7 linked regions of the Canis lupus familiaris genome follow. The protein of the gene in region 6 interacts with the protein of the main gene of each other region in a pairwise test. Links are inferred from orthologs where the notes say so. Each region holds a gene or a part of one and is shown on either strand. Other genes may lie near its edges.

Region 1 (2,934 bases), on a different chromosome or scaffold from region 6:
GAGATAATGAGAGGCAGAGACACAGGCAGAGAGAGAAGCAGACTCCATACAGGGAACCCAATGCAGGATTCAATCCTGGGACCCCAGGATCACACCCTGGGCCAAAAGCAGGCACTCAACCACTGAGCCACCCAGGTGTCCCTTAATGCATGATTTTATTTTATTTTTTTTTAAATTTTTATTTATTTATGATAGTCATACAGAGAGAGAGAGAGAGACAGAGGCAGAGACACAGGCAGAGGGAGAAGCAGGCTCCATGCACCGGGAGCCCGATGTGGGATTCGATCCCGGGTCTCCAGGATCGCACCCTGGGCCAAAGGCAGGCGCTAAACCGCTGCGCCACCCAGGGATCCCTAATGCATGATTTTAAAGTAAATCCTAGATATTAGTTCTTTTACCCATAAATATTCAGAATGTTTTTCCAACGGATGACTATTTTAGAAGCATAAACCAATACAATTATCATACCTAGCAAGATTAGTTTCTTACAGCTATCCAATACCCAATTTATGTTCAGTTTTCTCCCTACTGTGTTAAAATGTCTTTTTATGAAATGGTTTGTTGCAGATGAGGACCACAATCTGCAATTGGATGTTTCTTACATTTCTTTTAATCTATAACCCCACCCTACTCCCCCCCATCCCCATCCCGTCCCCATGAATGTGGACACATTCTAGATTTGCCCAGTTTCATAACAGATTGTGGCTATGGGTCGGGAGATTGGGAAAGAGGCTGCTGTAAAAGTCCAGTCAGGAGAGTATGGATGCTGGAAGGGAGGGGCAGCAGAGGTGGGAGAGGTAGGCCGATGTTGGGTGTTTAAAAGCTGGAGCTGGGCAGCCTGGGTGGCTCAGTGGTTTGGCGCTGCCTTCAGACCAGGGTGTGATCCTGGAGGCCTCGGATCAAGTCCCACATCAGGTTCCCTGCATGGAGCCTGCTTCTCCCTCTGCCTTGTGTCTCTGCCTCTCTCTCTCTCTCTGTCTTTCATGAATAAATAAATGAAATCTTTAAAAAAACAAAAAAAAAGCTGGAGCTGAGGGCACCAGGGTGGCTCAGTCAGTTAAGCATCTGCTTTCTGCTCAGGTCATGATCCTGGGATTGAGCCCCACTTCCGATTTCCTGCTCAGTGAGGAGTCTCCTTCTTCCTCTCCGTCTGCCTCTCCCCCCACTTGTGCGTGCTCTCACGCACAGGCAAGTGTTCTCTCTTTCTCTGTCTCAGATAAATTCATTATAAAAAATAAAAAGGGATCCCTGGGTGGCTCTTGGGGTGCTGGGTCTACCCAATGGTTAAGTGTCTACCTTTGACACAGCATAACCTGGGGTCCTGGGATAGAGTCCGGCATCAGACTCCCCACAGGAAGCCTGCTTCTCCCTCTGCCTATGTCTCTGCCTCTCTTTCTGTGTCTCTCATGAATAAATAAATAAAATCTTTAAAATGAATGAATGAATGGTGAAGCTGAAGGTTGGGATGTAGGTTGGTGGTAGAGAGACTCTGGGTAAGAGGCAGGGCCAGTTTCTGGCCTAGGTAGACAGAAGTTTGGAGCCCAGGGACCTCTGAGTGTGCATGTCCCCAGAGAGAGGTGGGACTGACCTGATATTGCTGACCCTGTAACCCCACTGTCCCTGGCAGGTTCCCACTGAAGGATGGCCCCCGGCTGCAGGCCTGGCTGAGGCACATGGGCCATGAGGACTGGGTGCCCAGCTGCCACCACCATCTGTGCAGTGAGCACTTCACACCTTCCTGCTTCCAGTGGCGCTGGGGTGTGCGCTACCTGCGGCCTGATGCAGTGCCATCCATTTTCTCCCCAGCACCACCTGCTAAGGTGAGCAAAAGGAGGTCCCACTGTTGGAGTCTGACCCTGTCTTCCCCACCTGGAAATGACCTGTGGAGTCTGATCCTCAGCCCTCCTCTCCTGAGGGAAGTCCCTGCTGCAGTCTGACCCTCAGCCCTCCCCTCAAGGAAGTTCCTCCTTGAGGTCTGGCCTTATCTGAGGACAGTACCCCTTTTTTTTTTTTTTTAATTTATTTATTTATTTACGATAGTCACACAGAGAGAGAGAGAGAGAGAGAGAGGGAGAGACAGAGGCAGAGGGAGAAGCAGGCTCCATGAACCGGGAGCCGGACGTGGGATTCGATCCTGGGTCTCCAGGATCGCGCCCTGGGCCAAAGGCAGGCGCCAAACCGCTGCGCCACCCAGGGATCCCTGAGGACAGTACCCCTTAAAGTCTGACCCTGATGCCTCTCATCCCATGCCTTTTCTTCCAGAGGCAGCAGAGTTCCCGAAGCACTGAGAAGCCAGTCGAGTCTCCCTCTTCACCAGAGGCCATGCCCCTGTCTCCGGATCCAACTGTCTCAGCCTCTGGCCCTATGCATCTTGCGGTACTGGGGTCAGCATCTGGAGGCCCTGAAGCCACGGCCACCATGTTCCTGACCTCCCTGCCCCCTCCTCCTGCTCCTGCCAGGCCACAGCCTGGAGTCCAGGCCCAGAACTCCCTGGCTGGGCTGGGCAGTGTCCTGGGAGCACTGCAGAAGCGGGTGTGGAGGCTGCAGCGGCACCATGAGCAGCATCAGGTGCAGCTGCAGGCCCTAGAACAGCTGGTACAGCAGCTGTGCAAGGAGGGCCTGCCAGCTAGGCGCTCCAGGGCCTGCTATGCCTGGTGAGTGTGGCCACCTGGCCCCCAGAGCACATGTATTTTCATTTTCAGTGCTAGGGTCCAGTATTTAAAAGTCAGAACATTTCACTCATGTTTCCAAACTTCTGAGTTTTCTTGGGGGAAAAAAAGTCAATCTGTCAACGCCTACCAACTATTGGTCAGAGCATGGTAATGGCTGCCCTTACTCTGTGCCAGACAGAGTTAATAACTTAAAACTCATATGACCTTGATGTGGCTGTGGTCCCCATTTTTCAGATGAAAAAACAGGCACCAGGATGCTACA
Region 2 (3,781 bases), on a different chromosome or scaffold from region 6:
GGCAGAGGTTTGCACTTTTTTTTTTTTTTTTGAAGATGTTTATTTGAGAGAGAGAGAGTGCACACACGCAAGCATGGGGTGGGGAGAGCAGAGGGAGAGGGGAAGCAGACTCCTGCTGAGCACAGAGTCTGCTGTGAGGCCCTGGATTCCAGGGCCCAAAATCATGACCTAAGCCAAAGGCAGACACTGAACCAACTGAGCCAACCAGGTGCCCCAAGGGGTTTGTACTTTAGATTGGGGTGGGGAGTCAGCAAAGCCCCCTCTCTCTAAGAAGGTGATATTTGAGCTGAGAATGAGACAGGCAAGAAATGATTTTGGGAAAAGTGTTCTAGGCAGAGGGAACAGTGAATGCAAAGTCCCTGAGGTAGAAACAAGGGGTAGAGTGTTGGAGATGATAACATCTCCAGTGCGGCAGAGGAGTGTGTGAGCGGGGCTCCATAGGAGGTGAGCATCAGGAGAGTCAGCAAGGGGGCACCTGGGTTGCTCAGTCAGTTAAGAATCTGACTTCGGTCCAGGTCATGATTTTGAGGTCCTGGTGTTAAGCCCTGCTTGTTCCTATGCCCCTCCTCCTACTCATGTTCTCCCTCTCTCAAATAAATAAAATCTTTAATTAAAAAAAAAAAAGAAAAAAAAATAAAAAAAAAATAAAAAAAAAATAAAAAAAAGGATCAGCAGGGGCTGAATCTTCCAGCAGGCTTAGCTGGCCATGATAAAGAGTGCAGGTTTTATGACATATCAGAGAAGTGGGAAGCAGAGTGTGAGGAAGCAAGAATGGAGGTCAGATGGTGAAGATGGTGTTAGCTGTACTCAGACAAAAGTGGTGAAAATAGGAAGAAAAAGATATCTCTGGGAAAACCTTTGAAATAGAACAAAGCATTGATAATGAATCGGATGTAGGTGGGAGAAGAAAAGGTGAGGATATTGAGCTGTTGGACTGAGCACCTGGAAGGATGAAGCTGCTATGAGCCGAAATGGAGAAGATCCAAGGGAGGCAGACTTCGGGGAATCTCACACACTCAATTTTGGACATGATAGTTTCGAGATACCTGTGGAGACACCTGGAAGGCAGTGTAGATTGATACGGGTATATGACCCTCTAGTTCTGGGAGTGGGGCAGAGCTGGGGGTTAAATCTGGATGTCTTCAGCCTGTGGTCCAACCATGAGCCTGGATAGGTCCATCAAGGTGGTGGGTATGAACAGAAGTGAGAAGAGCCTGGGGCCGTCCCTCCTGGGGGCCAAGGAAATGGACAAGGGACAGCCAGGGTGGAAAACTGGCATCCTGGAAGATGACGATCTGCAGGGGATCAGCTTGGTCAGATGCTGCTGAGACCCTGGGTGATAAGAAACAAGATGTGGGAGAAGAAAGGGAGGAAGGGTTAGGTGAGAGGGTTGAGACTGCCGCTGGGGCTTGCCTCCCCCCAGCAGGCCTTTGAGCACCTGGACCACCGACTGAGTGAGAAGGTGAAGCAGCTGAACACTCTGCGGCACCAGGTGGGCCTGCGGCAGAAGTGGCTGGATGAGCTCCAGCTGCAGCACAGCCTCCGCGAGCTGGAGATTGCAGAAATACAGAATGGCAACACGGAGGTGGCCAAGGTGAGGCTACCCAGGGGTGGGAGGAGGGCAGGGATATCCTGGGAAGAACTTGAGAGGGGAAGAGACTCAGCCCAGCCTTGCCTCCCTCTAGACCATGCGGAACCTGGAGAACCGCCTGGAGAAGGCCCGGATGAAGGCTGAAGAGGCTGAACACATTACCGGTGTGTACCTGCAGCTCAAGGCCTATCTCCAGGTGGGGACCAGCATGGCTCAGGGGTGACGTGGGAGGGCCAGCTGCCGAGGCACAGTGGTCACAGGGCCCCCACCCCACCCCCAGGAGGAGAGCCTTCACTTGGAAAACCGGCTGGATTTCATGGAGGCTGAGGTGGTGAGGGCAAAACGCGAGCTAGAGGAGCTGCAAGTGGTGAACCAGGAGGCGTTCAACGCCCAGGATATTGCCAAGGTGCCAGCCCGCCGGGCCCCGGGGTTCCTGCCCAGACGCCATGGTCTCCTGGCCCCCAGAATCCGGACCCCAGCTGTCCCCGAGCTCCTCCCGCCTGTCTCCCGGATGCCGCAGCCTGGCCCAGCTGCCTGAAGTTGTTGGGCCAGGCTGCTCCGGCCCTGAGCCACGGTGGGTACCAGCTGATCCCCCTGTCGCCCTGCTCTTCCTCCAGAACCAGCTGCAGTATCTGGAGGAGACCGTGTTTCGAGAGCGCAAGAAGCGTGAGCGCTACATAACCGAGTGCAAGAAGCGGGCGGAAGATAGGAAGCTGCAGAACGAACGCATGGAGCGCAAGGTGACCCTGTCCAGGGGTGCGGGGTGCAGGGGGCGTTCAACCCCAGCCTAGACCTGGCCCGGCCCCACCCCTGCCCTGCTCTTAACATTTCTCCGGACTCCGCCCAGCGCCACCTCCTCTTGATGCCAGGGTTCCTCCCACGAACCTGCCCTCGCCCTCCTCCCATCAGATTGCCTGTCTGGAGGAGCTTCCAGATGTCCCCTCACTCGCTGGTGGTCCCCATCCTTCCCCACCTGATTACCACCCCCCCACACACACACCTAAATCTGATCAGGCCTCTAGCACCTCCCCTTACTCGAGGCCCCGCCCCTGCTCTCTTGACCCCGCCTCTTGCACGGCCCCCGTGCCTGCCCCTCGCTGACCAACCCTTTCCTGCCCTCCTGACCCCTAACTGGGTGCCCCAAGACTTTACCCTGGCTCCCCAGTCGGGCCCTGCCCCCTCGCGGTCCCCTGCCCTCAATCCTTGCCTGAGAGCTGACTCTCCCGCCCTGGCCTCAACCTGTGAACAGACCCAGCGTGAGCACGTGCTGCTGCAGTCGGAAGATTCGACCCAGGACAGCCTGCGCGTCAAAGACAAGGAGCTGAAGCAGCGCTGGACCATGTACCAGACAGAGATGCTTTTTGGCAAGGTCAAGGATGCCACCGGCGTGGCTGAAACCCACGTGAGTACTGCCGGCGGCCCGCAACGCTCTCCGCCCTCTAGTTGCACTCAAGCTGAGCCCAGGCCAGTGAAGCCAACCCAGCCAGCCTCCCCTTTCCCCGGGCTCAGTTCCTCAGCCAACACAAACCTGCTCTATTCGTAAAAGACACTTCTTCTGCCTCTAGCTACTGCCCCGTTCTGCTCCTCACAGCAAAACCCACATGAGCTGTCTACCCTCGCCATCATTCCCTCTCCTGTTCGCTCTAACACTGGCGCTTTCCTTGGCGTGTCAGCTCTGAGAAGTGGTGAGCTTTGTCTTTTCTGTGTTTACGGCGCCTGTACCATGGTCTGGGGCACTGCTGACTGCCCACTGCCACTCTTGGACCCTGGCAAGCCGGACCCCTGTCCAGTTTCTGTCTTTTGAGCAGTCTCCCAGTGCTGCTGCTTTCATAGGATAACCCCCAAAGAGTTCTGGGACTCCAAGCTATGGGAGTCATCTGGGGCGCTGTGGCCAGGCACCTTTCCAGAAATTGGCCTGGTGGGCAACTACCTCTGAGATTGGCCATGTTTCCTCACTGGATTGGGCGAGATTCACAGTCACAATGTGGATGGCAGGTTGATTTTGAAGAGCAACTATGCTCACTGCTACCCTGCACCACACGCTGATTTTGGCTGATTCAAATTCCTCATATAGACAAGGACCCTGCAAAAATTATGTGTCAGGGGCTTAACATCCTTGAGGCACCTCTGAGTCTGACTCACAGAGTCCCTAAACATTGCTGTGCAGAAGCCACAGGCTTAGGCCATCTG
Region 3 (4,462 bases), on a different chromosome or scaffold from region 6:
AGATGAAAGAATGAGGACCACAAATGTATAGCTGTCTATTAAGAAGGCTTGAGGAGAAGAGGAGAAATCCATGAGACCCTAAGATGAGAGGCAGCAGGCCATGGGAGATGAGGTTTGCTTTGCAGGGCAAAGTTAAACATATTTTAAAACCAAAGAGAAGGAGTATGTGGATAGATACAACTCGAAGTGAATAAGGTGGAGGGGTAACGTGATGGAGTCAAGTCCAGGAGGGTACAGAAAGGGACTGATTCAACAGACCACAAGGAAAGAGAAAGATTTTCTTTTTCCTCAGACACCAGAGGGAAGGAATTCAGGATGAAGGGAGGCACTCTGGGCAATTCAGCCAGACTGGAGGGGAGCTGCAGGAGTTGATGACAGGCAGGCCAGATGCTGACATAATTAGGGCCTGGAGTGTAGCGGGAAATGTCTGAAACTGCAGAGAGAGAAGGCAGTTGAGTCAGCTATGAAAGAAAATAAGGAATCAAAGGACTGGCCCGGAGGAGGGCCCACCAAGGAATGTCTCTGTAACATGTAAAGCTGTAATAATGACATGCTGAAGCATCAACACCGACTACTGCTGTCCATTTTATGTCCCAAGTGCATGAATCTTTTTGAGTAGTTACAGGAAAAAAGTAAACCGCCTGTTCCAAACATCTTACACAAACGAACTAAAGCATGAAGACAAATAAACCCCTTTCTAATGTTAACAAGTCACAGAATGTCGTTCAGCGCTGAGGACCAGGTTACACCGATCATTTTCAATCCGGTAGTTAACTTTATTATCGTTACACTTGGCTGAGTCACCGTTGGGCCTCACGAAGAGACGGGCCAGGGTTACCACGTGAGAGCAAAACATCATATCAAAATAATTAGATTGGCTACGAAAACTACCTCGGAAAAGACCCTGGGCGGCACAACTTCGCCGAGCAGCTGACGTCCGACCGCAAGCTCCCAACTGCGGGCTGGGACGGGCGGGAGGGGCCGCACACCCGGGGCCCGCACGGGGCAGCCGAGCGCGCTGAGCAAGGCGACCAGCAGGCCCCCTGCCGCCGGCCGGGCGGACGCCGCAGGCCTGCACCGCGACTCCCGGGCCCTTCCCGGGGCTCCGACTCTTGCCAGAGAAGGGCACGCCCCAGGGGCTGGGAGCATCGTTCTCAGAAAAACACACGTTCTTTGATGGAGCCCCAGAAACGCCTCTCCCGCCCCCTCTCCCGTTCCCCAAGGGCAGGGCGGGACGGAGCCACGGAGTCGGCGGGACACCGGGTCAAGGGACACTCGCCCTGGCCACACCCCCGTCGCGGGCGCCTCGGGGCCGTGCGCGGGGCTGGGTGCGCACGCGCTCGCGTCTCCAGGCAACGGGAACAACAAAGGCCCGCGCAGAGCGCCTGCGCGGCGGGCGGTTGAGGCTCGGCCCGGGGGCGGTCGGGGGTGGAAAGCTAAGTCTTGGGTGGGTTTATTTATTTATTTTTTTTCTTTTCCCCTGAGCAGGAACGGTCCGCCAGAGCCTCAGGTAGGCGTAAGCAGACGAGGGGAGCAGACGTAGGGTCAGCGCCTCGCCTCCCAAGGGCGGCCGCATGGGCAGAAGAGCGAGGGCTGTGTTCCCCAAGCGGAGGCCCCAGCGGGGGCGCCCCTGCTGCGGACTCTGGGGCGGTGCGTGAGCTCAGCACCCGTGCGGCGGGCGGCGCGGCGGCCGGGTCAGGTGGCCTCCAGCTCTCAGGTTACGATCCGCGCCGTGGGGATCCTGGGTGCGGGTGTGACGGCCGGGCACCTGCGGCCGGCCCGGGCGGCTCGAGTGTCCTCTGGAGTCCAGCAGCGGGGAAGCCCTGAGAGCGCCTTGTGCGGGCCACCTACCTCCGAGCCGCAGTTTGCTCACCTGTGACACCGTAGGCCCGGACTCAGAGTCCTAAGGTCTTGTAACTCTGAGCGAAACTTCAGTGGATAGGTGAAGAAGCCAGCCAGCAAGGGAAAGTTGCTGGTCCTGTGTCACAGGCCTAAAGCCTGACTTTGAGTCCGACAGCCCTTTCCAGTAAATCTTTCCACCACCTAAGGAGTCTCCTGTGTATGGCAGGAGCATCGCTGTGTATGGCAGAGGCTGGTACTGGAATAAAGCGAGGTGGCGGGAACACCCGTGTCACATTCGTTTTTCTGTCCTCAAGATCTAATAGGCACCCACAGGAAATAATAAGCATTCACCAAATCCTTACTGAAGGAAAGTTCTGGCAGACCCAGCACCACTGTCCCTAAAAAGTTCAAGAGAATAGGTAGGACAAATGTATAAACTGTTTACTTTAGTAGCCGGGGGTAACCTCAGAAAACCTCCTCACAATATATCTGGTTTAAATCTCCCCTAGGCTTCAGTCCGGTCCCTGAATGGCTGGCCTCCAGTTGGCACCACCTCTGCCTGTGGGCGTTATGCTTCCATATAATGAAAGGGAAGCTCCAGGGCTCCTCTCAGCTAAGCAAGAGCCCTATGAAAAAGGTGACTCTTCTCAGCGGTCCTCCATGGGGCACCTGAGGAACAATTTCCAGCAGAAGCTTTTGAGCAACAAAGAGCTGACGCTGGATAATCTCTACACTCACTCCAAATGGAACGCCTGCACAAAAGCTGGGAGCTGCTCCTATCCCCACTGTGTTGGAATCAGCCAGCAAGATTCAAGAAGCGATTCCCAAGGCCAAGCAAAGGGTTCGTTTTACTCAGCAAATTCTCAGTCCTGGTATCCCAAAGCAAATAATCAGGAATTCATCCCCTTTACGAAGAAGCGAGTTGGGGTAGACCGGGCATACCCGCTGAAACCCGTGTTCCATAGGAAGTCTCACAGTACAAGTGAAGCTGGCATTGATGGGGACCAGGATGTCTCTCCGAGACCCCCTGAACCAAGAGAGTTTCCATACAGCAGCTTTGGTTCAAGGAACTGGGTGAATGCATCTGTGCTCCATGCCATTGCTGCCACACAGGAGGAGAGAGCCATGGCAAACCCCAACAGGACCGAATGGATGCAGATCCAAAGACTAGAAGCTGCAGGGGAGAGCTTACAAGAGGAAATCCGGAGAAAAGAAACCCTCCTTAGGGAAAAGCTGAAGAAGACAGAGGAGGAACTCCGAAGGATCCAGAAAGAAAAGGAACAGGCTAAGGAAAATGAAAAAAGAGAGCTACAGAGAATGACACTCCCCAGGAGGAGAATTAAAGGTAATAGCAACACCACATACAAACCTACCTTCTCCCCAGAATTCGGGTCTGAGGAGGTCTTCAGTAGAGACAGGGGAGAAGATGAACTTTGGGGACAGTCTCAAGAAAATTCTGGTCCATTCCAGTTCTCTGATTACGGAATACAGAAGCTCAAAAGGGAAAGACTGGTGGCAAGCAATAACAGAATCCGAGACCTAGTCTCAGAGTCATCAAAGGAGTTTTCTCAGTCTTCAGAAGGGCCTGGCAGTGTTTTGTGGGGATCCACCAGCAATTCTAGTTTGTCTAGGGGACCAGACTCTTCGGTTTCCAGCTGTTCCACTGAAGACCCCAAACTTGGCGAATGTAGCCACTGTGGACGCAAGTTTCTCTTGGTCAGACTGGAGAGACACTCCAACGTCTGCAGCAGGATGCAGGGTTCCAAGAGGAAAGTGTTTGACTCCTCCAGGGCCCGGGCCAAGGGCACAGAACTAGAGCAGTACCTGAACTGGAAGGGGCCAGCCCCAGTCAAGGTAAAAAGGCCAGGGCCTTATGGATTTGACTTTGGGGATCATTATAAAAGGATGCTAAATCAGTTTTCTTTAGAAAAAAACTCATGTGTCATACAGGGAGAAAGAACATTTATTGATTACTGTGTGCCAGTCACTGTGATAGGAGTTTATCATAAGATCCTCAGCACAACCCTGTGAGGGTTTCGTTGTCTCTTATCAATTCAAAGATCAAATCTCAGAGAGTTTAATTTGCTTGAAATCACAAACAGTTTTGAATGGCAGAGTCAGCATATATGGGGTGCCTGGGTGGCAGTTAAGCGTCAGTTAAGCATCCAACTCTTGATTTGGGCTCAGGTCAGATCTCAGGGTTCTGGGATTAAGCCCCACGTTGGGCTCCTGCATCAGGCTCCAGCCCCATATCAGGCTCTGCTCTCCGTGGGGAATTTCTTTGAGGATTCTCTCTTCCTCTCCTTCTGCCCCTCACACCACTTGCCCATGTGCTCTCTCAAACAAGAGTCAGCATATAAATCTGGGTTAGAAGCACTGCAAAAAATCCAGGCTTAAAAATATATGTCCTATTGATTATAAAAGTAATAAATGTTGGGGCACCTGGGTGGCTTAGTTGGTTAAGCATCTGCCTTCAGCTCAGGTCATGATCCCAGGGCCCTGGGATCGAGTCCCACGTAGGGGCTCCCTGCTCAGCAGGGAGTCTGCTCCCTCTGCCTGCTGCTCCTCCCCACCCGTGTTTGCTCTCTCTCAAATAAAATCTTTAAACAAATAAAAGCAA
Region 4 (4,386 bases), on a different chromosome or scaffold from region 6:
AATTTATCTGGAGGGCAGGTAGGAAGAAAGTGACCTGGGCAGGAGCATACAAGTGGTTTCAACAGTATCCATAATGTTCTAGTTCTTTGGAAGGTGACATATTAACAAGTGTTCATTTTATTTATTTATTTATTTATTATTTTTATTTTTTATTTATTTATGATAGTCACAGAGAGAGAGAGAGGCAGAGACACAGGCAGAGGGAGAAGCAGGCTCCATGCACTGGGAGCCCGATGTGGGATTCGATCCCGGGTCCCCAGGATCGCGCCCTGGGCCAAAGGCAGGCGCCAAACCACTGCGCCACCCAGGGATCCCTGTTCATTTTATTTTTATGCTTTATACTTTACATTTATATTACATACATTCCTTTACATATATCAAGAATTCTAAATCATTTTTTTTAATAAATCATTTTTTAAAAAAGATATCGGACTTTGAGAGGATCCTGTCCTATGCCAAAGACACACTTTTAATCCTAAGGCATCACATCTAACCTGACACAACAGCATCTCCACTTTTCTGAAATCTTTCCAAACACAAAGGTCCTTTACAAATAAGGGACATATTGCAGTCATCGGTGTCATCTTTTCATCAACTTTCCCAGTAAAATAGTGCACTCTGACTAACTCCCAGACCATGTTGGGCCACAATATCTTAAAGTATATCTGTCTGCAGAAATAACAGGCCAAGGCTTTTTGAGAAATGAAATATAAAAGATGATGCACAAGGTGTAAAAAGGATACAAGAGGATAATGTAAAGACTATGAAAAAGGACTCCCAAAAAAATAGGGGAAAAAAAGCACCTTAAATTAAGAAGAATAAAATATAAGCCCCAGATAATCTTTCAATTTTAAAAGAAAATAATTATTGAAAATATTCTCCGAAGTATTATTTAAAAAATATATCAAGACTGTACCAAATATTAAAAACTAGAGAATATACTTACAAAGTCATCTCCTGAGTCAGCTCCCATAGAGGCAACCGACTCCTTGCTCACTGACCGTGGGATCCTAGTAGCACCTCCTGGCCTCTGGGACACAGCAGTCTCTTCTGCAATTTTCTTCTTTAGTTTTGCAAACATTTTTTTGCTGTGTGGCTATCCTGCACAGATGACCAGCTTGTGAACCAAACCAGTAGTCTAGTCCTTAGGCCAGCAACCAAGACTTCAGAGACTGGTGCCTAAAAGGTTCCAGACATCCAAGATAGCTGCATTCCCACTTAAATGTGGGCCAAGGGTTTATGGAACACAGTATCTATAAATCAGATGAGAGAGGGCTAAGTTAAACACAGCAGAGGTTTCACCACTGAGTTGCTGTGTTAAGCTTCAGGTTTCAAAATTAAGTTTCTTAATTTTACATGTACATTTAATAGAACACAATTGCTAAACATTTAAAAAACACTCAGATGCTTCACATGCATAAACAGATAAGAAGATCCAGTCTCGAGGAGATGAGGTAATCTGCCAGAGTGTGTGCTTAAGTGGCAGGGCTGGTATTTGAGCCCTGGACTCTGACTCACAAGTCCTGATTTTTTATCATGCCACATTGGCTATGGCATATAACACATTTAGTAAAATTTCCCAGGGTACACATTAACATCACATGATGGTTTGGGACCCTGCCCCCAATATTAACTACAGTTTACTTTTTCTTTCTTTCTTTTTTTTTTTTTTTTGGTAAGATGAAGACAAAAATATGTAACTCAATAGTGGGATAAAGGTGCAATAATCTAGGATGGTTTGCCAACAGCTGTCAACTAGAAAAAGCTGACAACCTAGAAAAAACAGGCAAGCCAGGCAACTACCCTATTTAAGCACCAGATACCCTTAAACATGTCCTGGAAACGCTGCACAGTTTTCTTTTAAGGGTGATTAAAATGACCTGAACTCAGTTTTATCTTCAGAATGTTTTATGTGATATTCAACACGAGATTCAAACATCTTTTTCTCCCGGTGTTGCATGAAACCCTAGTATTCTGGTTCCAACCTTAAGTTACCATGTGCTGCGGAGGGCACCTAAGTTCCGCTCTGAGATCTACAAAATGACTTCTTACCACTCCATATGGTCCATTTAAGCCTGTACAATTCTTCAATGTCTGCAAACCACCTACTCACCTGGCTTATCTACCAGATTTAAAACAGCTTGGAGATCAAAGCATTCTGTCCTGCATGAAAACAAAGATACAATGCATTGGGTATTTCCTTTCAAGCGTAAGGCCAAAATGCTGGGGGTAAATGCAAGAGGAGAGAGGGAGAGTTAACCGGAAGACAGGGGAGAATCTATCACTGCCACAAACCTCAGTGGGCTGGCTACCTTCTCCTTTGCGCTTGTGATCTGCTAAAGAGCTTCACTAGCAGGTACAAAGAAGAGCAATCTCTCATCGGTGCCTAAATTCACTTCACTTTGGAAGCCCCAAAGCAAACACAACTTGGAACGAAACCACGGCTTCCCCCGGGGCCAGTATTTAATCTCAGTTGGTTCTGACCAGTCACACATGGTTTGTTTACCTGGCCAGACCCGGGCTGTCTAGTCAGAGCCTTCCTTGACTCGCACTGAGAGCGTCGCTGAGAAAAAGAAAGGCTACACTGGGTGAAAGAAACTGGCTAACGCCCAGGGTGAGGCAGGTACCTGCCTCGGGGGTCTGGGCCCCACTCGCTCAGGCTCACTCTTGAACCGCCCGCGTCTGGACTGTCAAAGAAGAGGGGGGACTGACTCGACGCCTCTCCCACTTGACAGCATGAGACCCAGGAAAGAGGTGTGACTTGTCCAAGGTCGCTGGGGGGGGAGGGGGGAGGGGGATCCTGAAAGCCCCTGCCCCAGACTCCCAGGCCGGACAGCCCGTCTGCTCCCACCCCCGCCCTTTCGGCACCCCGGTACCGCCCCCCGCCTCGGGTCTTGGGCCGCCCCGTCCGGGCCGCTCCGGAGGCCGACCTAGGCCACCGAGAGGAAGAGGGGCCTGCTGGCATCTCCGGCCCCCGCCCGCGCACCTGCCGCTCTCTCGGCAGCCGGCAGGGCCCCGCCTCCGGGACCTCTCGCGAACGCCGGCCCGCGTCACCAGCCCCCGCGGCCGGCCGGCGAGCGGAGCAGCGACCCGGAACCGCACCTCCACCAACGCGCCGGAAGTGGCTGAGCGCGGGGAGGATCCGCCGCGCGCATGCGCCCGCGCGCGGTCGCCGCGGTCGCCTGCGAGCCCGTCGGGGCGGCGGTTGGTTTGGAGTCGCCGGAGGGCGCGGGCGCGGGGCTGACCGCCGCCTAAGGCTGCTCCGCCACGTCAGCCGGCGGCCCGGCCCGCGGACGGTGACTGGGTGGCCAAAGCCTTTGTTCGGGGTTTTTTTTAAAGGGGGTGGTGCGGAGCGGGGCAGTGGGAGGAGCCTCGTGGCAGCAGGGAGAAGCATCCTATTGGTGGCGGTGGGACCCGCGTGCGTCGGGCGCTCTAGAGCCCCAAGGCCGGGGCTGAGCCGAGCGGGGCGTGTCCGTTCCGCTTCCCGCTTCCCGCTTCCCGCTTCCCGGCCCCAGCGTGCCCTGCCCCGCAGTCTTGCCCACCTGTAGTCGTACGTGATCACCGCAAGGCCCTGCCTCCCTCCTCACAGAACCCTGCGGCTTCAGAAACCAGAACTAGGTCTTCGCGCTCTGTGACTAGTTTGGACTTTGATGCTTATGACCCGTTGCAGGTTAGGTTTTATACCGCAACCCAGGACACACACTGAAAGAAGTTCCCAGAATCCCACCCTTACACGATGCACTCCGACATACCGCATTTCATGAACGAGCTAATGGCATTCCACTACATTCATAATCTAGTGGGCCTCCACCTTGCGACAGGTGAACAAACTCCAAAGAGGTAAAACTGCTCTTGTTCAAAGTTACACTGCAAATTAGCCTACATCGGGTCCATGGACCCTTCAGTGCCAACCAAGCCAGACATTCCGCACTGAAGTCACTCTTGTTCTTGCCCAGCACCTAAAAACAGCCAGAGGGTCAGCAGCTTCCACCCATCCTCCCAAACGATCTTCCCTCTGAGTATGGCAGTTTTTGAGCACGGCGAGATGGGCAGGGAAAACACCAAGATTAGAACTTAGAAGAAATTTACCAACTAGAAGAATAAGCATGGAAGCTAGGACCCCGAGAGTCGGAAGTGTCTCAGGTATTATCTGGAAGAAGCAAACCCTAACAGTTTAGGGTTTGCTTACTTACGTTGTCAGCGATTCTGAAGAAGTACCAAAAACGTTAAGCAAATAATGTTTATTTTTATATTGATGATACACTTAATATACACGTGGATTCAAGATACAAAATTCATTTACAAGAGTTCACACCTGATGAATGTAGTCACATTCCTAGAGAACATTTATCAATGCAAAAATGTTTTCAATACAGACAACAAAAA
Region 5 (3,918 bases), on a different chromosome or scaffold from region 6:
CACAAAGTGTTTATCACAGTGTTTGGCACTAAGTCCTTCTAAAGTCATCTCCATCATTTCCCAAGTTCTAGAAACAAACAGGGACATTTTGTTGTCGTCGTCCCAGTGACTGGAGCTGGTACAGTAGTGAGTGTCCTGTCCAAAACATCAAGAGTGTCCCCACTGGGAAGACCTATCTAATGTTTTAATTGTTCGACTTAGCAATCCGAAACTGTAGGAGAGAGGAAAGAGCCACTTACAGTTCCTGTACTATCATCTGCTCTTTCTCTAGGTTTCTGCTTTTGGGGAGAAAGAAGAGAAATCATTTCCTTTTTCATTTGCTGAAGAACCTTCTTAAGTTCAGCATTTTCCATTAGGATTTGTTTCTGACGATATTCATAATCATTCAAGAGAATTTTATACATTTCATCTTCATTCCTGAGAAAGAAACTGTCAGTATGAAAATGCAGTTACAGGAAGAAAAGTCTGATGAAATATATCAATTTAAATTGGACCTTACCTGGCCTCAGTTTTACCCGTCCTCCAGGAGCCTCTTTTTCCATCGGCTCTCCCCACATAATTTAAAACTTCCATAGCTAAAAATATGAACATGCAAAACAAAACCAATTCTTACCACACATTTGTTAAAGTGTATAAAACCCTAACACACTCTATCACACATAAATCAACCTGGTACAGATTAGGATTTTGGCTCAAACAGCCCACATTTCAGGTTCCAGTTCTCCATCACTGTTAAGCACTGAGATCTCGACACTGATTAAGCCTGTTTCTTTGTCAGTACAGAAGGAATAATGAAAGTATTTACCAAAGAGTTGTTGTGAAGGGTAAAAGAAGTTAAGACACTTAACAAAGTCTTGATAAATGTTATTTTGTTATCATTATTAATTTTATCATTGGGGTAATAAGCAAACTATGGCCTGTAGGCCAGCTGCCTGATTTTCTAAATAAAGTTTTGCTAGAACATTGCCACACCATTTGTTCATATTAGTTAGTTTTATACTACAAGTGTGGGGATGAATAGTTGTGATGAAAGACTACAGACTCCACAAACCTGAACATATTTACTATTAGAATCTCTACAGAAAAAGTTTGCCAAGCCCTGTGTTGTCATCATCATCAAAGGAATCAAGGCCCCTGACAGTACTAGAAGGAAATAAGAGGACAAGAAGTTACTGTAATTTTAGACTTGATAAAATCATTATGAAACTGTCACTTCCAATTAGGTTTGCACTAGAAAACAGCCAGGCCCCAATAAAATAAGGGCTCTGTTACCAGAGTTAAATCTTTAATAAATTTCTCTAATTAGGTGCTACATTTTATACTTACAGCATTTCATCCTTCTCTTTATTTAATTCATGAATGAATACGAGGTTAACCAATGAAGTTTAAATTTGATTATCCTAAGACTTTCAACCTTGTCTTAATTGCTTATTCCATTTTCATTTTTCAGTAATTTTAAAATAAGATAGCTGACTAATCGCAAAAGCTCTGCTGTGCAGAATGGCAGTGATGCAGTCAGCACTGAGCTGCCTGCTGACAGCGGACACAGCCCACCATGTGACAGCTTGAGACATCTGCTCATCAGCTGTTGTGTCAGCCAAGCTCAGTTTCGGAAACCACAGTTTAGGGCATTACTGTACAATGTAGGTTAGAGGACAACCTATAGTCCACTTGGAAACCACTCTTTGATAAATAAATGCATAGATTTCCTGGGCTGCATCTTACCAGGCCAGCAAAACTGTATCTGCAGAGCTTTACTCTTGTGTACGTGTGTTTTTACTTTTTCATCTATGTGATTTACCTGAAGGTATGCATATACTTGGATGAAGTTGCAAATTGCTTTTCAAAAGACTCTTAAGCACAAGCATAAGCATTAACATTCACAGTTCATCCTTTAGACTAGGTGCTTCAAAAATGCACAGCTACATTTCTTTAAAGGAACAGATGTAAATAATTTGGCCTGATGAATAATTTTATGAAGTTAATTCCAAAATCACACTTTTTTTTGATACTCAGAAACTCATCTTGATTTTTCTTATTATCAGTTTTTTTCTGAGGAGGATTAGAATATCCTCTGGCTTGGGTTTTCCTCTATGGAACTACAACTACCATATTAAAAAAGATACATATAATGCTTATATGCAACAAAGGAAACAGCAAAATTATTATTTTTCACTAATAAGTTGCCTCAATTTCTAGTTTATATGGATATATACTGGCTATAAACAATTGCATGAAGCATAAAAATTATACTTCATGAGCTACTGTGCTATTGTTCACATTTATTTCTTAGCATATTAGCTTATTTACTTTCCTCTATCTTAACCAGTTGTTTCTTACCTATTTTTTTATCCTTCTTGTTCATAACAAGCTGATGTAGACGTTCCTTTAATTTATTATATTCACGTTCTTTTCTCTTCATATCATGATTATATTGAGTAGCTCGACTTGCAATGATATTTTGTAATTTTTGTACCTGAAAATAGCATTTCCATTGAATGAGTCCCTTTATGATTGATAACCCCAGCTAAAATTTGTAAAGTAAATAAGTTCTAGCATCCACCTCCTCATAAAATAATTTTAGGATTATGCTTCTCAATGACCACTGGACATCACTTTTTAAAGTATCACTAAGTGATTCACATAAAGTTTTTGTTTTTTAATTCTTAAATTTCCAGAGCTACTAACATCCCAAATTATCTTTTTCTTCCCCTTTTACCCTATATATAGACTCTGCTCCTTTAGAAACCAGAAACTCTTACAGAAGTATTAAAGTGATTAAAACTTCATCTGGGACAAGAATTAATCTGATCATTTGTAGTGACTTCCTTATACTACTGACTTGAATCGCTTTATACCTTATTAATCTGTGACAAATTAACCACAGCACATCCCAGCACATAAACAGGTTTGTTTTTATCTGACCATAAATAGTTCTCAAATTAGAGTAGGTCCAAAGAGCAGAACCTGGTAATAATATTTGCTGAGTGCCTACTATATGCCAGGCCCTACTACTGTTCGAGGTTTTTATCTACTGTGGCTTCTCAGGCAGGCCTTGATTGGACGTGTGTTGTATTCTATACAAACATTTTTAATACTGCTAGAGATGATCATGTGTAACTTAATCCTTACTAAAAATTAACCATATTCTAAACACTGAAGTGGAACCAGCAGGTCAAGTCAAAATTTTCTGTGAAATAACTCAAGGAAATGTGTAAGTGACATTGCAGTTTAATTAAAGTATTTCATTATCCACTAACTACATTACTAAATAGTCAAAATATGACAAAACAAATCTGGCTAAACCACTATAAAGTCATTAAAGAAATGCACTCCATCCCTAAAGTCCTTAATTATAGTTAAAAAAATTTATATAAAATACTGAAAATATATACTGTATTTTTATAGTTATCAGATGGTCAGGGATCAAACTGCAGAACACTGAGAACAAAATGTTTCTTATGTAATTTAAAAAAATAATAATTTCAAATGTATTAAATCTATAGATCCAAATACTAAGTAAACACTTGAACTGAGACTAGAATTGATGTCTTTAACAATCAGAAATAGGATCTTTAAATGTGAATTGCTTTTTTTTTTATTTTTTTTTTATTTTTTATTTTTTAACTTTCTCAGTTTTATTTATTTTTTTAAATTTATTTATGATAGTCACACAGAGAGAGAGAGAGAGGCAGAGACACAGGCAGAGGGAGAAGCAGGCTCCATGCACCGGGAGCCCGACGTGGGATTCGATCCCGGGTCTCCAGGATCGCGCCCTGGGCCAAAGGCAGGCGCCAAACCGCTGCGCCACCCAGGGATCCCGCTTTTTTTTTTTTAAAGACTTTATTTATTCATGATAGACAGAGAGAGACAGAGACACGGGCAGAGGGAGAAGTAGGCTCCATGCTCGGAGCCCGA
Region 6 (4,387 bases):
CTCCAGAAGCCACGTGGAGGGTCCATCTGGTGAAGCAGATCCACTAGCATCAGCCCCTCGTGATCTGAGTAACTGCTGCTCCATGAAGTCAGCTGTAGAGCTGGAGAGAGAGCTACAGAGAAGCCAAGCGAGCTTCTATCTTTGGCTCTGGCCTATCACCAGATGCCTATACATTTCCAGGCCCAGACTCAACACGGTCTATCTGGTCTCCTTGTTTTTCCTCCCTCTGCTCCCTGGTGGAGCTTCTCCTCTGTTAGACTCTCTTCCCCTCCTGCCCTCTCTTCTATGAAACCTCACTTTCTAACATCTTTCCTGACTACACACTGTGTGTCGGCCTCGGTGACACACGTCAGTGGGGACGCAGAGACCACGGGAGTCACAGCGCGTGTTTCGAGAAGCTGGCAGTCGCTTGCCTTCCTGTGGGTTCTGGTTTCATTCACAACGGCGGGAAGTTGGATCCAGATCTTTGACTAAGAGCCGGGTGCGCTCCGTGTATTCTTAACAACTGCCGCTTGCACCTTTTCATCATAGGAAGGAGAGAGAAAGAACGTGAGCGAAGACTAGGGGCTGACACGCCTAGGCAGCCCTGTGCTTGCACATTTCATCTCCCCGGATCCTCAACCATTTTGCAGAAGAGGAAAGCGAGGCTTCCAGAGGCGCAGGGACTAGGGGGGCCCCGGGCCCGGGTGCTTGCGGGGTGCAGAGGCAGCCGCCACTCCCCGGGCGGCCCGAAGCCCTTGAGCCTCGGCCCGCGGGGCTCCGCACGGTCCTATCAATCGGTGAAGGAATGAAGGTCTCGACCACGGGCTGGGGGGCGGTTCCCGGAGGGAGCGCGTGGGGCCCTGGTCCGCCCGTCCCTGCGCTCTCAAGCTCCGCGCCCACCGCGGTGCTCGGCCAGGGGCCCCGACGGCACCCGAGACCTTGCTCCCGCCGGCAGCCTGGCCCCGCGCCCCGCGCCCCCCGCCCCGCGCCCCGCGGCCGCCCGCTGGCCCTCACCGCTGCCCCGTGCGCCAGTCCTCTAGCCCCTTTTACGCAGTCGAGTCTCAGACTGGCGGCGGGGTCCCCGCGGGCCGGGCGCGGCACGGAGGTCGGGGAGGTCGGGGAGGAGGTCGGGGAGGTCGGGGAGGTCCGGCAGCGCGCCCGCCGCCATCCGAGGCCCTGGAAGCCCCGCCTCCTCCCTCGCACTCGGCCCCGCCCCGTTGGAGCCCGGGACGCGCTCGCCCGTCGCGGCCGTGACGAAGAGCGCCCCGCGCCCGCCCCCGCCCCCTTGTACGTCATTTCCGGCGCGCCGCCGCGGGCACATCCGGGCTCCTGGCCTCCGGCCGGTAGCTGCGCTTGGACCCGGGACCTGCGGAGGTGAGCGGGGCGGGGGTGCGGGCAGCGGTGGGGCGTCCCCGCCGGCGGGCGTGAGTGCGGGGGACGCAGCCCCTCCGCGCAGCCTGCTCCAAGCCTGCTTTCGAGCGCCGTCGGCGCGGAACCGAGGCCCGGTGCTGCCCCTGGCTCGTCCGCCCCGCGCGGGCTCTTCGGGGGCCCGGGGAGGCCGAGGCGCTGCGGAGCCCCGAGTGCTCGGGGGCGCTTCCCTTCTGTGCGCCCCGCCAGCGTGGCGGGGGTGCAGTGAGCCGGGGAGCCTGGGGACTAGCGCCCGGACGCGCCGGCCCCCGCGAAGGCTGCTTGCCGCCCGCGGCTGTGGTGACGCCGCGACGCCGCCGCCGACCCGCCGGAGCTGGGGTTTCAGCAGTCCTCCCCGAGGTCCCCTCCCCAACCTACTGATAGTGGCGGTGAGGAACCTGATCTGGGGCTACCGTAACAGCCCTTGCTCCCGGAGCGTTTTTACTCTGAGCTTAGTATTTTAAATTTTTTAAGAAATACTTATTTGAGAGAGAACGTGAAGCGGGGTGGGGAGGGGCCGAGCTGGAGCGGAAGAAGCAGAGTCCCCGCCGAGCAAGGACCCCGAGGTCTTGACCTGAGCTTAAGGCAGATGCTTATCCAGCTGGCCCACCCAAGCACCCCTGAGCTAAGCGTCTTTTAGGCACCACCTCGTTTAATCTGGCTCACAGGCATTCCCAGAGGGTGGGGGTAGAGTCAGCTGAATCTCATCACTCAGCTACCAGGAGCTGAAATCTCTGTTAAGGTAGGGTTTATGCCTTCAGAAGAAGTTCATGTTTTGGGAGGAAAACTTTTAAGTCTTAGGGTCTCACCAAGTAATATACTTCAGGAAGCGTGTTCTAAAAACCATCACTCCCGGTGGTGAACCGCCAAGGGTCCAGATATAGTAACTCTTTCCTCATATTTAGTTGTTGTTGATCCTTCGTTTTGACTCCAGAGTAACTACATTTTTTTGTGAGATTGTAAAAGTACCATTGAAGTTACAACTAATTTAAGAAGAATGGGAGAAGGCCAGTTAGAAGCCTCAAATCTTCCAGCAAACATCTGGCATTCTGAGGTGACAGTGTCCGTGACAGGCGAGCCACCCAGTGCTGTAGAAGAAGAAAAAGAAACAGCTGAAGAACCGGAAAAAGAAGTCCTCCCAGACATCGTAGAGCCACTCTCCATTCTAGATGTGCTGAGGATCTCTGCGGTTCTGGAAGATACTGCAGACCAGCTCTCTATTCTAAACTATATCATGCCAGTTCAGTATGAAAGAAAACAAAGTGTCATCATGGTATTAAAAAAAAAGGGGGGGGGGTTCCAGGAAGATGCCCACCCCGTTTCTGAGGCAGTAATAAGTAGAATAACATACCGAGTTATTTTTTTGTGGGTTATTTAGGTGTGAGTGTGTGTAAAGTTTTATGACCTTGACCAGGACAGGGAATCGCATATTGTTGGGACCAGTCTTTTGTCCCACCTGTTTAAATAGTGTTTGTTTTCTGAAATATGTTTTTAATGTCTGCCTTATTGAACTGTTAACAATGATTTTTAATCATTGGGACTTTGAGTGTGAGGAAGTTTGAAGGGAGTGAGGAGCAGGGACGGAAGCCTACTGCTGCTCTCCCCTCAGGACTTACCACAAACCACGTGCCTTTTTTATTCCTTTCTTTAGTGACCTGTCATGTCACTGTCCCACTTGTACCGGGATGGGGAAGGCCACATGGATGATGATGACGATGAGCGGGAGAACTTTGAGATCACCGACTGGGATCTCCAGAATGAATTTAACCCCAACCGGCAGCGCCACTGGCAGACCAAGGAAGAGGCCACCTATGGAGTGTGGGCAGAGAGAGATTCAGATGAAGAGAGGCCCAGCTTTGGAGGCAAACGGTACTGGCCAGCATGAGACTGCTTCCTCCTCGCTTTAGGGAAGATGGGGGGTGGTGGGAAGATAGCCCACTAAATATACCTTTCTCCTGGCCTTACCAAGTCCTGTAGCTACGATATAAGCTAGGGAGGCCCAGCTTCCTCTTTGGCCGGAGTGCTGCTCTTTTGCTGATTTAACCATCACTTCATGTTTAACGAGCAGTTATATGTACCATGTCGTATACTGCAGCCCCATTCCTTTCCTTCTGGGAGCCCAGACGCTAGAGCATGGAGACACATTAATTGACAGCTCATACGATGGAAGTTTATAACTGATTTAGGACCTGAGAGAGAGAGAGTTTGGCCTATTCTGGGAGGTGAGGGAAGATTTCTCTAGAGAAGTGACTTTTGAGTTTCTATTACAGCAGAAGGTAATGAGGGTGGTAGGAGAGGCACGGGTATGCAGAGGCTCCTGAGGGGAGGCGGTGGGTGTCCACAGGGGTACAGAAAGCTTTGCAGGCTGCGGTGAGGGAGGGAGAGGGGGCATAGTTTGAGAAGAGGTCTGTGGTAGAGCGGATGATGTGGGCTGCACTTACCTTTGGAGAAGACCTGTCAGTGTGCAGAGTTGACAGGGAGCTGCAGGGGAAGAGGAAACTCCATGAGGCAGGAGAGGAGGATTCAGGCCAGTAGTCGTCCTCCCCAGTGTGAGAGGTCATGTGTGCAGTGGCCACAGCTCACTTGACCAGAGCGTGTAGCGAGTTTGGCTTTGTCTCTGTGTTTCGTCTGTGGTTTGTAGGCTCTAGCCCATTGACACTGTGCGTTTTTCACAAAGGAGGCTGGGGAGAAAGTATGGAGGTCAGATCAAGTCCTCATCTGGCAAGGAAACCTAAAAGTGGGTGATAAATAGATCAGAGGTCAGGAATTAACATTCTCTATAACCATAAGATAGTACCTTGTTCTGCACTCTACGTGCTTGGTATCCTTCACCTTGTGAGAAAAGTAGCATCATTATCATTCCTTTTTTCAGATTAAAAAACTGAGGCCAAAAGCACATAACCAGGCTGTAAGAAACTGGGCCTGACTCCTGAGTCTGGGTCTCTACGGCCTAAGTTACATTGCATTGTTTAGGAAAAAATGCTACTGCCATGGGGAT
Region 7 (4,525 bases), on a different chromosome or scaffold from region 6:
AGGATTCATATGGTTTTAATTTTTCTGTTTGAATCGTTGTGTATGCTATGAAGAGGCATCCAGCTTTTTGTTTGTTTGTTCGTTTGTTTGTTCGTTTGTTTTTTTAAGATTTTATTTATTTATTCATGAGAGACAGAGACATGGGCAGATGGAGAGGCAGGCTTCATTCAGGGAGCCTGATGTGGGACTCGATCCCAGGACCCCGGGATCACGACCTGAGCCGAAGGCAGATGCTCAATGTTGCACTGAGCCACCCAGGTGTTGGCATCCAGGTTTCTGTCTCTCTGTGGGGTACTAATTATAGCAGCGGCATAGTAAATGCTCTCTCTTTTACCCCCAGAACTGAACTACCACCTTCATCGTATATTCTCGTATTTCATAGTTTGTAAGACTTTTAAAAGATAGAAAATGAGGATCCGTACCAGCCTATGGCTTGATTTAGTCACGATCTTGTGTCCCGCCTGGTGGGTGGGGTGAATGTTAAGGCCCAGAGAGCTTCCTCTCACTGCACCCCTGCTTCCCTTTCAGGTGCTACTAGCTGAGGAGGGGGTGGCCCCTCTGCCGGCCACAGGGCCCCTGCAAGAGGACAAACTCCCGCTCGGAGAAGGGCTGTCTCCTCTGCTTCCAGTTCAGTCCATCAAGGAGGAAGAACCCCAGCCTGGGGAGGAGACGCTACACTTGGGGAGGCCCATCAAAGTGGAGAGCCCGCCCTTGGAGGAGTGGCCCTCGCCGTGCCCGTCAATCAAAGAGGAATCCTCTCATTCCTGGGAGGACTCCTCCCACTCTCCCACGCCAAGGCCCAAGAGGTCCTACAGCGGGCTCAAGTCCCCAGCCCGGTGTGTCTCAGAAATGCTTGTGATTAAACGGAGGGAGGGGCGGGAGATGAGCCGGTCTCGAAGGAAACAGCACCTCCTGCCTCCTTGCCTGGATGAGCCGGAGCCCGAGCTGCTCTTCTCCCAGGGCCCCGGGGCTTCCCAGCGAGCCACCGAGCTTACTTTGCCCACAGAGTCCTCTGAGCCTGCCTCCCGGCTTGGCTACTCCCAAGAGGAGGGAGGACCTTTTAAGACGCCCATTAAGGAGACGCTGCCCATCTCTTCCACTCCAAGCAAATCTGTCCTCCCCGCGACCCCCGAATCCTGGAGGCTCACACCCCCAGCCAAAGTAGGGGGGCTAGAGTTCAGCCCAGTACACCACCCCCAGGCTGCCTTCGGCCCCCTGCCTGATGCCCTGGGGCTGACGGATTTTAGCACCACCCCCCTGAAAAGCATTCCCCTCTTTGACTCGCCCAGAGAGCTCCTCAGTTCTGAGCCCTTTGACCTCACCTCTGACCCCTTCAGCACTTCCTCCCCCTCAGATATGGAAGTCCCCAAGCCAGACTCCCCTGGGCCAGAGGCTGCCAGCCTCTCAGCCAACCGCTCTCTGACAGAAGGCCTGGTTCTGGACACGATGAATGACAGCCTCAGCAAGATCCTGCTGGACATCAGCTTTCCTGGCCTGGAGGAGGACCCTCTGGGCCCGGACAGCATCAACTGGGCTCAGTTCATTCCTGAGCTACGGTAGAGGCCTACCTTACCCTTGCTGCCTGAGCTGTCCATGCTTCCAGGATCTCGGGTGGCTGGGCCATCCGAGGACAGCAGGCAGGGACCGTCCGCCCCTCTAGCTCCACTTTGCCTGCTTATGCCAAGACGGACATCATGCCGTGGCCACTACTGAGCCCTCTGCAAGCAGCAAGGTCCTGGTGACCGGTCACTGTGCCACCACTGCTCCCCAAAAGAATCCGGTTCCTCACTCTCCCTGCTAGGAGCTAAGGGTTGGGAATGGCAAAAGCAAGGGTGAAAAGAGATTAGGAACTCCTCGGACTGCTTACACCTGTGCCCAGGAGTCCCCCACTTTTCCTGATCCTTGCAGGGCAGCCCTTGTAAATAGTGTATATTCTCCAAATTATCCTCTAATTATAAATGTAAGCTTATTTCCTTAGATCATTATCTAGAGACTGCCAGAAAGGTGGGTAGGATGACAAGGGGTTTGTTTGCTCCTGTTCCTTGCTTTCAATTCCTAGAGAAGGGAGGACGCGCAGTGTACGGTTTCTTCCAGGCCCAGGGCACCTGCCTTCAGGGCTCTTTACTGTAGACAAGCAGATCTGCTTCCTAGGGTCCTGCTTATTGTCCCCCTCCCTTCCCACCTTCCCATGTTTCCAAGTCAGCTTTCCTGCAAGAAGAAATCCTGACAAAAAAAGGTCTTTTGTCAAGGGTCAAGAGTTGAATTGGGGGTGGGGGAATGGATGCATCTGAAGCAAAGAATGCAGGTGCCCAGATGTGCTCCCCTGAGATGTTTCTCTGATAACGTCCCTAATCATGCCAGAGAGACGAGCCATTTGCCAAGAACTTGGCCCAAGGCTTGAGAAGACTGAAAGGGCCCTGCCCTGCCTAACTTCCTTAGCTCACACCTCAGCTTTGCTAAGAGCCACCTGAGGCCCCAGCTGACCGCATGCATGTGAGCCAGCTCGAGAACACTACCATAACTGTCAATAAAATCCAGGGTGGAAGTGCTCTCTGTGGTGTGTTGGTGTCTGGTCCCTGAGGCATAAGGAGGGGTTGGGGAAGAACATGGGAGATGGAGATGGTGGTGACAGGGAATTGGTAAGGCCTGAAGCCAACACAAAGCACATGAAGGGGAGTGCTCAGGGCATTGGCCTGGGCTGCCTCCCACATCCTATGCAGGCACACATCAGAAACTGGCAGGTTTCCCAGGCTGGTCCTGCATGGCCAGCCTCTTCAGAACCACTGAACCTAATGGTTAACTTGGCCCTTTGGTTCTCCCTATAAGGGAAAGACCTACAGAGGGGTAGGGCCCTGCCCTTCTGGAGAGTAAGGAAAGATGGGCCCAGTTATAGGCACCTCATGATCATGTCCACCCCAACCCAGGGCCTGGAAGCCAGCCTACCCTGCTTTTCTCTTCCTGCCCTCCTAGGCAAGTCCCTCCCCAAAAACCCCTCTGGCTACCATCTACACATAAGTCCTATCCCCTGCCTGTCTCACCTGAAAGGCAGCCAGGCCCCAAAGGATTGATGAGTCCTCCCAGGGAGAGGTAAGGGCCTCCTCCTGCGTCACCATCCAGGAAGCATCACCATAGCAACCCCAACAGCAAACAATGCTGCCAGGGAAAGTCTTCCCTACCAAGCGGCCTCTCCTGACAATCAGGCCCACAGGTGGAATGGCCAGTAGCCCACCAAGACAACCCAGAGGGCGGCGTGTTCCGCCTCATGTCCAAAAACCTTTCTTGCAGGTAGGAGGTGGGGCCCTATCTCCACAGCCTATCTGTTTGCACACTGCTGGGCTAAGGACTGCCCCCCTGGGGTCAGGGGGTCAATAGATGTCTCTCAGTCCTGTGGTACTATGAACACAGAGCTCAGAACAGAGAAAAGGAGATGCCTGGTTATTACATCTCCCAGCCCCACCTCCTGGGGTGGTCACGTGGAAATGACAGCAGAGTGGGCCCAAGAGGCAGGTGAGTTTTTGTAGTCAATAAGGTCCTAAGGTGGAAAGAAGAGCATAGTCTCATGAGTAATACGGACAGATGGCTCAAGTCCCAGCTCTGCCACTCACAGACCTGGCAACCTCGGGTGAGTTCCTGACTCTCACCATGTCTTGCTTTTTGCATCGTTGAGATGAGACCGTAACAATGCTTGCTCCTAGGATTGTGAGGGTTAATTGAGTTGTGGACGTGTTTAGCACAGTTCCAATACCTACCTGGGCCCAGTTATAGGCACGGGCCCAGTTTATTTCACGGGAGGTGGGACAAAGGAAAGGGAAGAAACCAGCCTTCTAGATGTTTCCCCATACTTGGCTTGTGTTTGGACGAGAAGTGAGGGAAACGCACCCATGAGAGAGAAACGAGTAAGAGGACGAGTCCGGGAGAGAAGAACCCCTGGGCTGCATTCTCCGGAGAATGATTTTCCTTCTACGCCTCGCTCGGTAAGGGGCCTTTCCCCTCACAGTTTCCCTGGGCCCCCTGGGCCCTGTTCAGAGCCCCCACCCTGGCAGGAGCCCGAGGCAGCCAGAGTGCAGAGGAGGGACGAAAGTGAAAAGTGAGGAGCTGGGAGACCGGTGAGGAGGAGAGCAGGGTGGGAAATCCGAAAGCACAAGGTGAGAAACCCAGGGGGACCCTCCAGAGCAGACCGGACTTCTGACGGCAGGCCCAGCCCGCAGACGCCGTGGCCAGGCCCGGCCACCAGGGTCCCGACCAGAAGCCGGGGTGTGAGCGGGCCTGCAGCCTGGCCTCTCCGCAGCTGCTCCCGGGACGAAGGCAGGGCGCTCCCCAGGCTCCCTCTGGTCTCTCCCCAGATGGCCCAGGCCAGCGAGCCCCTCCTGACGTCCCAGACGCGGGCCCGGCGCGAGTTCCTCCTCCCTGGTGCGGCCCGGGCGTGGCCTGGCTTCACCCCGCAGGCCTACCGCCGGCTGGCTCTGAGGCTGCCGCCCTGCACCGCGCGCAAGGCCGAGGTGCGCCGCCGGCTGCTCCGCCCCGA

Evidence for each region.
Region 1: the proteins of TFIP11 (region 6) and THAP8 interact in binary tests that used the Homo sapiens proteins (3 or more experiments, as listed by UniProt). The two-hybrid records come from large-scale screens. The link is inferred for Canis lupus familiaris from reciprocal best matches to the Homo sapiens genes TFIP11 and THAP8.
Region 2: the proteins of TFIP11 (region 6) and ODAD3 interact in binary tests that used the Homo sapiens proteins (3 or more experiments, as listed by UniProt). The two-hybrid records come from large-scale screens. The link is inferred for Canis lupus familiaris from reciprocal best matches to the Homo sapiens genes TFIP11 and ODAD3.
Region 3: the proteins of TFIP11 (region 6) and ZC2HC1C interact in binary tests that used the Homo sapiens proteins (3 or more experiments, as listed by UniProt). The link is inferred for Canis lupus familiaris from reciprocal best matches to the Homo sapiens genes TFIP11 and ZC2HC1C.
Region 4: the proteins of TFIP11 (region 6) and GOLGA1 interact in binary tests that used the Homo sapiens proteins (3 or more experiments, as listed by UniProt). The two-hybrid records come from large-scale screens. The link is inferred for Canis lupus familiaris from reciprocal best matches to the Homo sapiens genes TFIP11 and GOLGA1.
Region 5: the proteins of TFIP11 (region 6) and SSX2IP interact in binary tests that used the Homo sapiens proteins (3 or more experiments, as listed by UniProt). The two-hybrid records come from large-scale screens. The link is inferred for Canis lupus familiaris from reciprocal best matches to the Homo sapiens genes TFIP11 and SSX2IP.
Region 7: the proteins of TFIP11 (region 6) and RHNO1 interact in binary tests that used the Homo sapiens proteins (3 or more experiments, as listed by UniProt). The two-hybrid records come from large-scale screens. The link is inferred for Canis lupus familiaris from reciprocal best matches to the Homo sapiens genes TFIP11 and RHNO1.

Annotation. Positions count from the first base shown.
Region 1 is NC_049222.1:117,497,516-117,500,449, forward strand, and holds part of THAP8 (THAP domain-containing protein 8), read left to right. Parts: intron 1-1,627; coding exon 1,628-1,820; intron 1,821-2,262; coding exon 2,263-2,654; coding exon of another isoform or gene 2,655-2,658; exon of another isoform or gene 2,659-2,934.
Region 2 is NC_049241.1:50,318,029-50,321,809, forward strand, and holds part of ODAD3 (coiled-coil domain-containing protein 151), read left to right. Parts: intron 1-1,046; exon of another isoform or gene 1,047-1,332; intron 1,333-1,423; coding exon 1,424-1,594; intron 1,595-1,685; coding exon 1,686-1,787; intron 1,788-1,871; coding exon 1,872-1,997; intron 1,998-2,208; coding exon 2,209-2,331; intron 2,332-2,840; coding exon 2,841-2,993; intron 2,994-3,781. UniProt on the Homo sapiens protein: Component of the outer dynein arm-docking complex (ODA-DC) that mediates outer dynein arms (ODA) binding onto the doublet microtubule. Involved in mediating assembly of both ODAs and their axonemal docking complex onto ciliary microtubules.
Region 3 is NC_049229.1:48,486,560-48,491,021, forward strand, and holds the start of ZC2HC1C (zinc finger C2HC domain-containing protein 1C), read left to right. Parts: upstream 1-1,359; 5' UTR 1,360-1,447; exon of another isoform or gene 1,448-1,510; intron 1,511-1,591; exon of another isoform or gene 1,592-2,261; intron 2,262-2,351; 5' UTR 2,352-2,370; coding exon 2,371-3,696; intron 3,697-4,462.
Region 4 is NC_049230.1:58,176,653-58,181,038, reverse strand, and holds the start of GOLGA1 (golgin subfamily A member 1), read right to left. Parts: upstream 3,121-4,386; 5' UTR 2,987-3,120; exon of another isoform or gene 2,931-2,986; intron 2,746-2,930; exon of another isoform or gene 2,507-2,745; intron 2,316-2,506; exon of another isoform or gene 2,296-2,315; intron 2,164-2,295; 5' UTR 2,114-2,163; intron 1,254-2,113; 5' UTR 1,082-1,253; coding exon 947-1,081; intron 1-946. UniProt on the Homo sapiens protein: Involved in vesicular trafficking at the Golgi apparatus level. Involved in endosome-to-Golgi trafficking. Mechanistically, captures transport vesicles arriving from endosomes via the protein TBC1D23.
Region 5 is NC_049227.1:63,790,325-63,794,242, reverse strand, and holds part of SSX2IP (afadin- and alpha-actinin-binding protein), read right to left. Parts: intron 2,477-3,918; coding exon 2,341-2,476; intron 576-2,340; coding exon 500-575; intron 430-499; coding exon 240-429; intron 1-239. UniProt on the Homo sapiens protein: Belongs to an adhesion system, which plays a role in the organization of homotypic, interneuronal and heterotypic cell-cell adherens junctions (AJs).
Region 6 is NC_049247.1:20,595,193-20,599,579, reverse strand, and holds the start of TFIP11 (tuftelin-interacting protein 11), read left to right. Parts: upstream 1-1,303; 5' UTR 1,304-1,356; intron 1,357-3,040; 5' UTR 3,041-3,049; coding exon 3,050-3,258; intron 3,259-4,387. UniProt on the Homo sapiens protein: Involved in pre-mRNA splicing, specifically in spliceosome disassembly during late-stage splicing events. Intron turnover seems to proceed through reactions in two lariat-intron associated complexes termed Intron Large (IL) and Intron Small (IS).
Region 7 is NC_049248.1:4,136,277-4,140,801, reverse strand, and holds the start of RHNO1 (RAD9, HUS1, RAD1-interacting nuclear orphan protein 1), read right to left. Parts: upstream 3,151-4,525; 5' UTR 3,039-3,150; intron 2,551-3,038; exon of another isoform or gene 1,561-2,550; coding exon of another isoform or gene 529-1,560; intron 1-528. Other genes in the region: FOXM1 (forkhead box protein M1), read left to right, coding at 529-1,560; TEX52 (testis-expressed protein 52), read left to right, coding at 3,428-3,507, 3,866-3,974, 4,344-4,525. UniProt on the Homo sapiens protein: Involved in microhomology-mediated end-joining (MMEJ) DNA repair by promoting recruitment of polymerase theta (POLQ) to DNA damage sites during mitosis.